Cricetulus griseus: one gene and its partner. The protein of the gene in region 2 purifies or fractionates together with the protein of the main gene of each other region. This does not show direct contact. Links are inferred from orthologs where the notes say so. Each region holds a gene or a part of one and is shown on either strand. Other genes may lie near its edges.

The links.
Region 1: the proteins of Gnai3 (region 2) and Ric8a purify together in Homo sapiens (affinity purification with mass spectrometry; 3 studies listed by BioGRID and IntAct, counting the BioPlex papers as one, with this or other methods). This does not show direct contact. The link is inferred for Cricetulus griseus from reciprocal best matches to the Homo sapiens genes GNAI3 and RIC8A.

The regions. Positions count from the first base shown.
Region 1 is NC_048596.1:60,341,270-60,345,544, forward strand, and holds the start of Ric8a (synembryn-A), read right to left. Parts: upstream 2,939-4,275; 5' UTR 2,886-2,938; coding exon 2,802-2,885; intron 2,506-2,801; coding exon 2,458-2,505; intron 2,370-2,457; coding exon 1,779-2,369; intron 1,478-1,778; coding exon 1,386-1,477; intron 925-1,385; coding exon 774-924; intron 1-773. Other genes in the region: Bet1l (BET1-like protein), read left to right, coding at 3,950-4,211.
Region 2 is NW_023276806.1:48,990,887-48,995,402, reverse strand, and holds the start of Gnai3 (guanine nucleotide-binding protein G(i) subunit alpha), read right to left. Parts: upstream 2,830-4,516; coding exon 2,712-2,829; intron 1-2,711. UniProt on the Homo sapiens protein: Heterotrimeric guanine nucleotide-binding proteins (G proteins) function as transducers downstream of G protein-coupled receptors (GPCRs) in numerous signaling cascades.

The DNA of each region.
Region 1 (4,275 bases), on a different chromosome or scaffold from region 2:
GCCGTTATAGCAATAAGGGCAGGCAGTCACAGCTAGCATATTCAACACTAGCTTCTTTGTCCTCACCCAGCTCATAGGTGCTGAGCACCCTATGGCTCCTCGGAGATCTAATGAACCTCTATCTATGGCTTTCATCTGTGTGAGCTCCACAGGATAGGCTAGATCACCAGCTCTCTGGTCCCATATTATAACTGTAGGTGTCAGGTAACCCTTGGTTATGTCTCCTTAAGATGCAGAGGGACAACGGGGGTGGGGGTGGAGGTGGGGGTTGGGGTCATTCCTTTAATCCTAGTACTTGGGAGGCAGAGACAGGCTGATCTCTGAGTTTGAGGTCAGCCTGATCTGCAGAGTGAGTTCCACGACAGCCAGGGCTACACAGAGAAAACCTGTCTTGAAAAACCAAAATAAAAAATAAAAAACAAAAAACAAAAGATGCAGGACAACTAATGCTGTCACCTATGGCTGCCAATGTATGGGAACATTAGGGAAGCAGGAACCAAAGGCTTCTGAGAATCACTTAACAGGGAACTGCAGAGACCTAAAAGACAACATTCACCTTGGCAGACCCTGAGAAGCCTGCTTTTCTTTGGGAATCAGCAGCATTGAGGTCCACACACAAGCTGTATCCACAAGCTTCGGAGAGGGTCTGACTGAATAGCTATCTCTGGTGGGGCCACAGAGCAACCAGAGAAACTGTCCAAGTTATACCTTCAAGCTGACCTCTCTCCCTGGTGCAGAAATGGAAGCCACAACATAGCAGGTCCTCCACCTACCTGGTGCAGACGCTTCTCTAGGAAGGCAAGAAGGGCACTGATCACTTCCATATTGACTCCCATAAACTCTAAGGATCCTTCGTGTAGCTCCAGGGCGAGAAGGACATCCAAACATTTGAGGGGCAAGTTTCCCAGGAGATTCACCGTGTGGCTGGGGACAGACAGAGGCCTTGACAGAGTAACTCTAGCACAGAAGTAATCCCCGGCTCCTCTCCTGGGGTATACATGATATGGGGGACTGAGGACAGCACCGAGGACTAGAGGCAAGGGCAGGTAGTACTCCATTCAAGTTTGGTGGGGAGACAAACTTCTGCCTGTCCCATTCTGTCTGAGCTGAGATACCAAGTCAGGTGAGGTACTTATTGGTCACCACCAGCAGGAACACCATTGCCTTACAATGCCAGGGCCACCATTGTTTCCACCTTAGCTCTTCCCCTAGTCATATTCTGAGTTCCTGGGGCTCTCTGGGAACACTCTGGTTTCCCATCCCTCTGACAGTCATACTCTTACGGTGGGACCTGGTGCTTCTACTGACACCTAGGGCTGAGGACTAGGGTACCCATGCCTAAGTACTCTCCCCACTGTCAACACACGGTAAGTCCTGCCCCTTACCCGTGGAACTCCTCTGTGCGGTCTCCAGCAGCAGCAACCATCACACAGTGCCGCAGAAGGGTCCCCAGGTACCGGTAAAGGGCAGCATCTTCCTAACCAAAGACAGAAAATGGCTCCTGTAAGGAGGAGTCCCCTGTTCCAGTGCTCCAGGGCCACATGGAGCTGATCACTTGGCTTTGTCCACAGCACAGTTGGTGACCTTTGGCCACCTAAAGCCTTCCCACAAACACACCCCCACAACACAGCTCAGAAACCTTCCTTGGATTCCCTGCCTTGATGTCCCATTATCCTTGCCATGTCTGGCACCCAGGAAGTTGAGGCAGGAAGGAAGCAAAACCACAAAACTGTCCCAGCTGAGCTGAGTCCCACCCATGACTTCAGGCTACAACTTACCTCATCCACCTCCCTCTTGACAGAGTCAAAGGTGATGTTAAAGAGCACTTTGAGGATCTCCATGGCCCGCTCTGTCTCTTGGGCCGGAAGTACCACCGGGGGTTTTTCTTTGGGGCCCACCCCCAGCGTCAGTTCCAGCGCCTCAGTCAGCAGGCGCACACCGTGCAGCTCCTGAAACAGTTGCTGGCGCACATCAGTGCGAAGGGCAGTTAGCAGGAAAAGGAGCCTCAGGTCAAAGAACTGGACTTCGTGGGGATAGCTCCTTTTGCGGTACAGTCCCACACGCTCCACTAGCCTCACCACCAGGCGAGCCTCTGCTGCTAGCATCTGCGCTGCGGGGCTGCTGAGCACGAGATTGCACAGGCATTTGAGAGACTCGAGTAAGACATCCATGTCTGGGGGCTGTGGGATGGGCTCCTCTGAGATGGTGATGTCAGCATAGCAGGCTAGTGCATGGAGGCTCTGGCGGCTGGCAAATGAGTCCAGGCAGCTGCGGTCTCGGGTTAGGATTCGGATAGTCTGCAGCCAGGTGACACGGTGTGACGGTGACAAGCCCTGCTCCAGTAAGGAGACCAGCAGCTTTGCGAGTCTCTGTGGGGAGGGACAAAAGTGGATCCACCAGTCCCTCTTCTTGGGGCAGCCCATGCCTGCCCTAGGAGCCCCTTGGGATGGCACCTACCTTCCTGTCCTCCTGTTGGGCATCATCGAAGGTGAAGCTCTGGGAGTGCTGCAGGGAGGAGACCCAGTAGGCTCAAGTCCACGCGCAGGTAGGACCTGTGCTCCTCGAGTCAGGGCAGCCGGTCTGCTTTTACCTCTGAGGCAGCAGCCATTGCTCTGAACGCAAGGCAGGGCCCACCACCCTCGCTTCCCCTACACCTGCCCCACCACTGAAACCCCCGAGGCCCAGCCCGCCTCCCAAGGCCGTGCTCCCTGCCACACTCGCACGCACACCCCGGCCGCGCTGCGCGCACACCACTGCTTCCTCTCTCCAAGAAATTTCCTCAGCAGCCGGGTGCCTCTCACCTCCCGGTTGAACGACTGCAGAGCTTCTGTCACTGTGTCTTCCTCTCCCGTCTCCAAAGCATCCGCAACTGCCCGGGGCTCCATGGCCCCTGGCACCGGGTGCTGGAAGGCTTGGGCTGGGAAGACGCAATCGGCCAAACCCGCGGGCTCCGCCCAGGTCCGGAAGCCCCGAGTCCACGCGTGAGGGATGCCGGGAGCACAGCCGAGCAGAAAGGGTGTGCACAGGCGTGGGGCGGGCCTCCGGTTTAAGGTGGAGCCCACCTGGCCGCGATCGCCGAGCGGCTCGTCTTGGAACAGCGGCGCTAGCTAGCCAAGTAGCATCCCCTCGCCCCCCTTTTCTCCCTCCTCTCTAGCAGGCGTGGGGCGTGGAGGTGGGGTCTCGGCCCCCGCATGGACCGCCCTCCTTACGCACCGGTCAGGGAACAGGGAGAGAGATGAAGGGAGCACTATCTTCTGGTCGCTTAGTCAGCTGGAGCCCCACGGTCCAGACCCTGAAGCTCATGCTCCGCGGGAAAGACAAACACAACGACTCGGGTGGTCAAAATAAAGCGGATAGCTCGGCGAGGTGGCGCACGCCTTTATCCCAGCACCCGAGAAGCAGAAGCAGGCAGATCTGTGAGTTCTAGGCCAGACAGGGATACATAGTGAGACCGTCCTTAAAACAAACGAAAGACCGAACCATCAAAAACAATGTGGCCATCAAAGGAAAAAGAAAGTCCCAGTGTATGAGGAAGGGTCAGAGGGAAGCGAAAACCACCCGGAGAAAGCCACTCCCATGGGAGGGGCAATGGAGGGGCGGCCAGCCGCGGCCCGTCAGTGTGAGAGGCGTTCCAACGCTGGGTAGAGGGTGGGTGGCTGGGGAGCCGGGTCCGCACTCCGCGTGGCTGGAGGCATGGTCGGTGAGAGTGTACCTCGCGGTGACACACAAGCCATGCTCCAGCGGATGATCTGCCACCCGCTGAGCTAACCGGCGCGTGCCCTGCGCCTGCTCGGTGTCAGGCCCTGGCGTCTCCTTCGCCAGTCTCCTTCAGTTCTGTCCGTCCTCCGCATCTTGTAGTTCTCACACTCGGGCTTCCGCAGCGCCCGAGGCATCCGGCAGCTTTACCGAGCCGGTTTCCAGCCTCAGCTCCCGGTTTGTGCCCGAGCTCATGCTCCGGGTACCACCCACATCTCGGGACTACTATTGCTGGCCAATCCGCGGGCACGAACGCAGGCGGCCCGCCCTTCCCTTATTTACATTCCATGGAACAACTTCATTTTTGTTTCTTCCGCTCCAGTCCCTTCTCCCGGAAGTTATTATACCTGAGGCGGAACCGGAAGCCTCTTCCAGGAGCCGGTGCCACGTCCGTCGCTGTGCTGCGGTGTCCCAGAGTGGGGCTCTGGAGGGCGAGATGGCTGATTGGACTCGCGGTGAGGGCATCCGAGGGTAGGGGGATAGGAAGTGAAGTCCAGAGCTGGAGCCATCGCTCTATTC
Region 2 (4,516 bases):
AAATGAAAATTACAGCTAGTAAATAAGCATGAATTAGAATTTGAAGCGTTCTAACTTCAAAGCCCATGCTTCAATCACTATGAGAATTATAGCCACAGACAAAAGAAAATATACGAACCAGGAAAGGCAAGAAAAGTAGATTTCAATTTAAATTAAATTGGATAGCCACTTAGTGTTGAAGTAAAAATGGCTTACATGTACCAAAGGAAACTTTCTGAAATCAAAAAAATGAGGGGAAGGGGTAACTGGAATACCATATAGGGTGTTTTTTTATTTACCATAAAGGTGCATTTTACTTAAAGAAATATCATGAAAGATCTTTTTTTAAAGTGTTAGATTTATTCATTTTACATCTGAGTGATTAATCTCCACATATGTATATGTACCATGTACATGCCTACAGGTAGTTGTTAGCTGCCATGTGGGTACTGAGACCCTCATCCAGATCCTCTGTAAAAATAGCAAGTGATCTTAACTGTTAAGCCATCTCTCCAGCCCCATTAAAGATCATTTTAATTTCACATATGCATTATGATACAACTCAGGTTAAGAGCAGCTGCTTCTGCAACCTACTTCAACTTACTGGTTTAATTTGCTCAAAATACTGTTAAAAAAAATTCTGAGAGAAAAAAAAAATCCATGTTTGTGGTACATACCTGTAATCTCAGCTATAGGATCTCATGAATTTTGAGACCAAGATTCTGTCTCAAAACAAAACAAAATGCTTAAAAAAAAAAAAAGCTAGTAAAAATGAAAGACAAATGTTCAGTACTTTGACTTTAAAACTTTTCAAATTCTCTAAGCTATGATGTGTTTAATTTTTTAAATTAAAGGCCCTGAATAAAGATTTTCTTTACACATACTTGGCTGGTTCTGCCTGCCAAAGTTTTTCAATGGTCAATATAAATCAAATCACAGTGAATAAGAATACATATTTAATTTCATAAGTGACTGGTCAATATAGAAAATGCTAATGTCAGGGACTAGAGAGATGGCTCAGTGGTTAAGAGCACTGACTGCTCTTCCAAAGGACCCGTATTCAATTCCCAGCAACCACATGGCAGCTGACAACTGTCTATAACCCAGTTCCAGGGGATGACACCCTCATATATACATGCAGGCAAAACACCAATGCATATGAAATACCAAAAAAAAATCATTTTTAAAAAAGAGAAAATGCTAATGTCAACGGTATGATGATCCCAGCACTGGTGAAGCTGATACAGGACGATGGAGAAAACGAGCACGTTTTTATCAGCCTTCTGAAAAGTGCCCGTGAACTAATGTCCACCATAGCTTGATCAAACTGGTTGGTCAATAGTAAATACTTAAGTACCTGCCAAGTACCAGAAACCATGTTCATCCACGTAAGATATCTATTACATAGACACTGGCAGTCTAGAACTATGATTTGACTTCCTATCTTCTGGAAACTCAAAACTCCATTGCACAACCTTTTCTTTATATCCAAGCTGTCACTCAGAGCTTCCACCATATATAAATAAGCACCCAGCACATCTTAAAGCACAAAGTAAGTCTGAGATTATGGTGGTTGTGTCTGTCCTCTGGAGCTTCACAAAGTGAAATTGGTACTCTACAGTGACTCCTCAGAACTCAATTGATCAAAAATTTCCACTGCTTACAGAACCTGTGACTCTTACATATTCTCATCTAACAGATTCCTCAAAAATATGAATAATGAATGTGGCCGGATTTATTGGTAAGCTAATGCCAGAGAATGTTTACGTGATTTACTGGGTCTATCAAAGTTTAAAACTAAATTGTCCTGACTAAAACATGTCTGACTATATATAAAAGCCACTTAAGTGGAGTAGAAGGCGACATGCTGTAGTCTGGAAGCCAATATTTTTACTTATAAACCCAATTAAAAATATCCCCCCGGATTTATCACAGTCTTTACTGTAAATATGCCCCACCCCATATAGTATCCTATTCTAACTCTATTCTCAACGCACATCATTCCCAGAACGTCCCCACTGTAATCTACTGCCCATTAATCCTCAATCACAAACCTCAAAGATGGCATTCTTTCAATTTTCTCAGCTGACACCATTCCTATCCCTTGTTTAAAAGTATAGCCGGGCTCTGACCCAAGTTCTTTTCTCTTATACTTAAGAACTTGTCATTTATTTTACCCGCCTCCCCCTTTATGTTCCTGGACAATCCACGTTACTAACAGCACAAAAACTACGTGTGCTCTTTTACAAACAGCAGGGTTTTTTTGTTGTTGTTTTTCATGTGACTCTTCCGTCCTAGCTTCTCTAGTCATTCAATTCTTCCAGCTTTATGCTGCCATCAAGTATCAAACTCACACAAACTCCGGACAGGCCCAGCAGACACCATACACTACTCTCCTCAACACGTTCCAATCCAATGTGAAACCTTCCCTTATATCGGTCCCTCCCAGTAAGGAGCCTTTCCCGAATTCTCAGCCCAGCCTCAAAGCTCCAAACTCCCAAACTCTGCTAAGCACCATCCCAGTCCGGTTACACCCTCTCCAACCTGAAATCCCCACGCCTTCCGGGGCCTCAATCCCCAAGCCCAGAACTCGCCCCACGCCGGGCATCCATCCCGTCCGGGTCCCTTCGGGGTCCGTTCCGCCGGCCCAGCCAGACCCCTCACGGCTCAGCCTGCTCCCCGGGCCGGACTCTCGGGAATCCAGGACTCCAGCTCCGCCCCCGGCCCCTCACCGAGCAGCAGCAGCTTCACTTCTTTGGCCGCTTTCTCCCCGTCCTCCCGCAAGTTGCGGTCAATCATCTTGCTCCGCTCCACCGCCGCCTTGTCCTCGGCGCTCAACGTGCAGCCCATGACGGCGGCGGGAGAGGGGACCGGGTCCGGACTCACACACCGCAGAAACCACGACTACACCGGCTGAGCCGCGTCTTCTGCTGGGCGGTGGCCTTCTCCGTCAGCTCCCCTAGCGCCCGGAAGAACCGGATGTCTGCTGTTTACGACACTTCCGGCGACGCCCGGCGGCCGTTACCATTTAGAGCACGGAGGCGGTGGGAAGCGAAAGAGGTACGGAAGGCGGAAGTCCCCGAGAGTCTGGCTGCTCCCGTGGAGGGATGGAGATCGGTCGCTCCGCACCTCCCAGACTTAATACCTTAATTCTTGGGCTCTCGGGCTTGGGTAAGCGTAGAAAAAGAGGGACTTCCAGCTCGCGGTGCCCTCTTGAGGTCGCACAGAAGGTTTGGTGGTGAGGACCGGATTCCTAAAGAAGAGCTCACAGCCGTCTGGAAATTTCACCTGGAAAGAGTCTCCCTGGCCAGAAAAACCCTTTTGATCTGTGATTATGGAGTCTGGGTCTCTGCCCGAAGCCGAGTGTTGGGCACTTCAGCCAAAGTTGTCTCAGTCTGATCTTTGAGATGGGAACAAACTGCCCAGCCTGGCTTCCGTCTATGCCTCGTGCGTCCTCCTGCTCTTAAAAGTATATCTTAGTTCTTCTGCTACTACTGTGAATTTCTTGTGAAATTTCTTGTGAGCTGTACATTTACCTGGAACTCCTATTTTGGCAAAGGATCACTCGACTTCTAGCAAATAATAGAACATGGAAAATAGGTGCCGTTCATTCATAACATTTCCATGTTTCCTTTTTTCCAATATAAACCAAGGGCTCTACATTAGGGACTTAGTCCCATGCCCAGAAGCAAACCAGTGCATCCTTCTTGAACGAGAGTTCCTATATGATAGCTCCAGAAAATGGGAAGTTTAGTAAGTCTCTCCAGTATCGCCAGAAGATTTGTAAATAAATTACAACCTTGTGAAGGTAATCCTAATATACCTTCACTGCCGCTTTTAGGAAAGGTCACCTTTTTTGCAGCCATTGAAACTTTCCCCTGGAATTTAAAATTATTTCTCTAGTAGAAACTAAACATAAACTACAAATCCCCAACAGAAAGGTCTGTACAGTGAAAATTAATTAGAACCATTTAATCAGAAGATTAACCCCCATCCACTTCACCATAATGCTTATCAATTCCAAGTCTGAAAAGTCACCCACTCATTTCCAAGTGACCATTAAAAAAGAAAGAGGCTGCTTTTCCTTTATGATCACTTCTGGGGGCGGGGTTGGGGGGGAAGCGCAAAAGGAAAGGGGAAACACAACATTTATTGAATACCTATTTGCCAGGTATGGCTAGGTGCTTCCATGTCTCATCTCTTAATCCTCACAACAACCCTGTGAGGTAGGTAATATTGGTCCCCATTGTCACAAATGAGGAAATAGGCTCAGAGAAATTAAGCAGCTTTCTCGTGTCCACACAGTAAGTACATCTACCCGATTTAAACTCTACACCTATTTCTACCAGGCCTCTAGAAGGTATTGCTTGAGGGTGGATACCTGACAACAGAAAGTCTTAAAGGTTTTACCTAGTATGGTAGTCACCCCAATACCAAGTTGTAGGCAACAGTAGCTGACAAGACAATGGTCTCATTCTGTTGCTCCAAGAACACCTTTGAAGAACTAAGGATTGTATATTGAACTTTACCAATACGT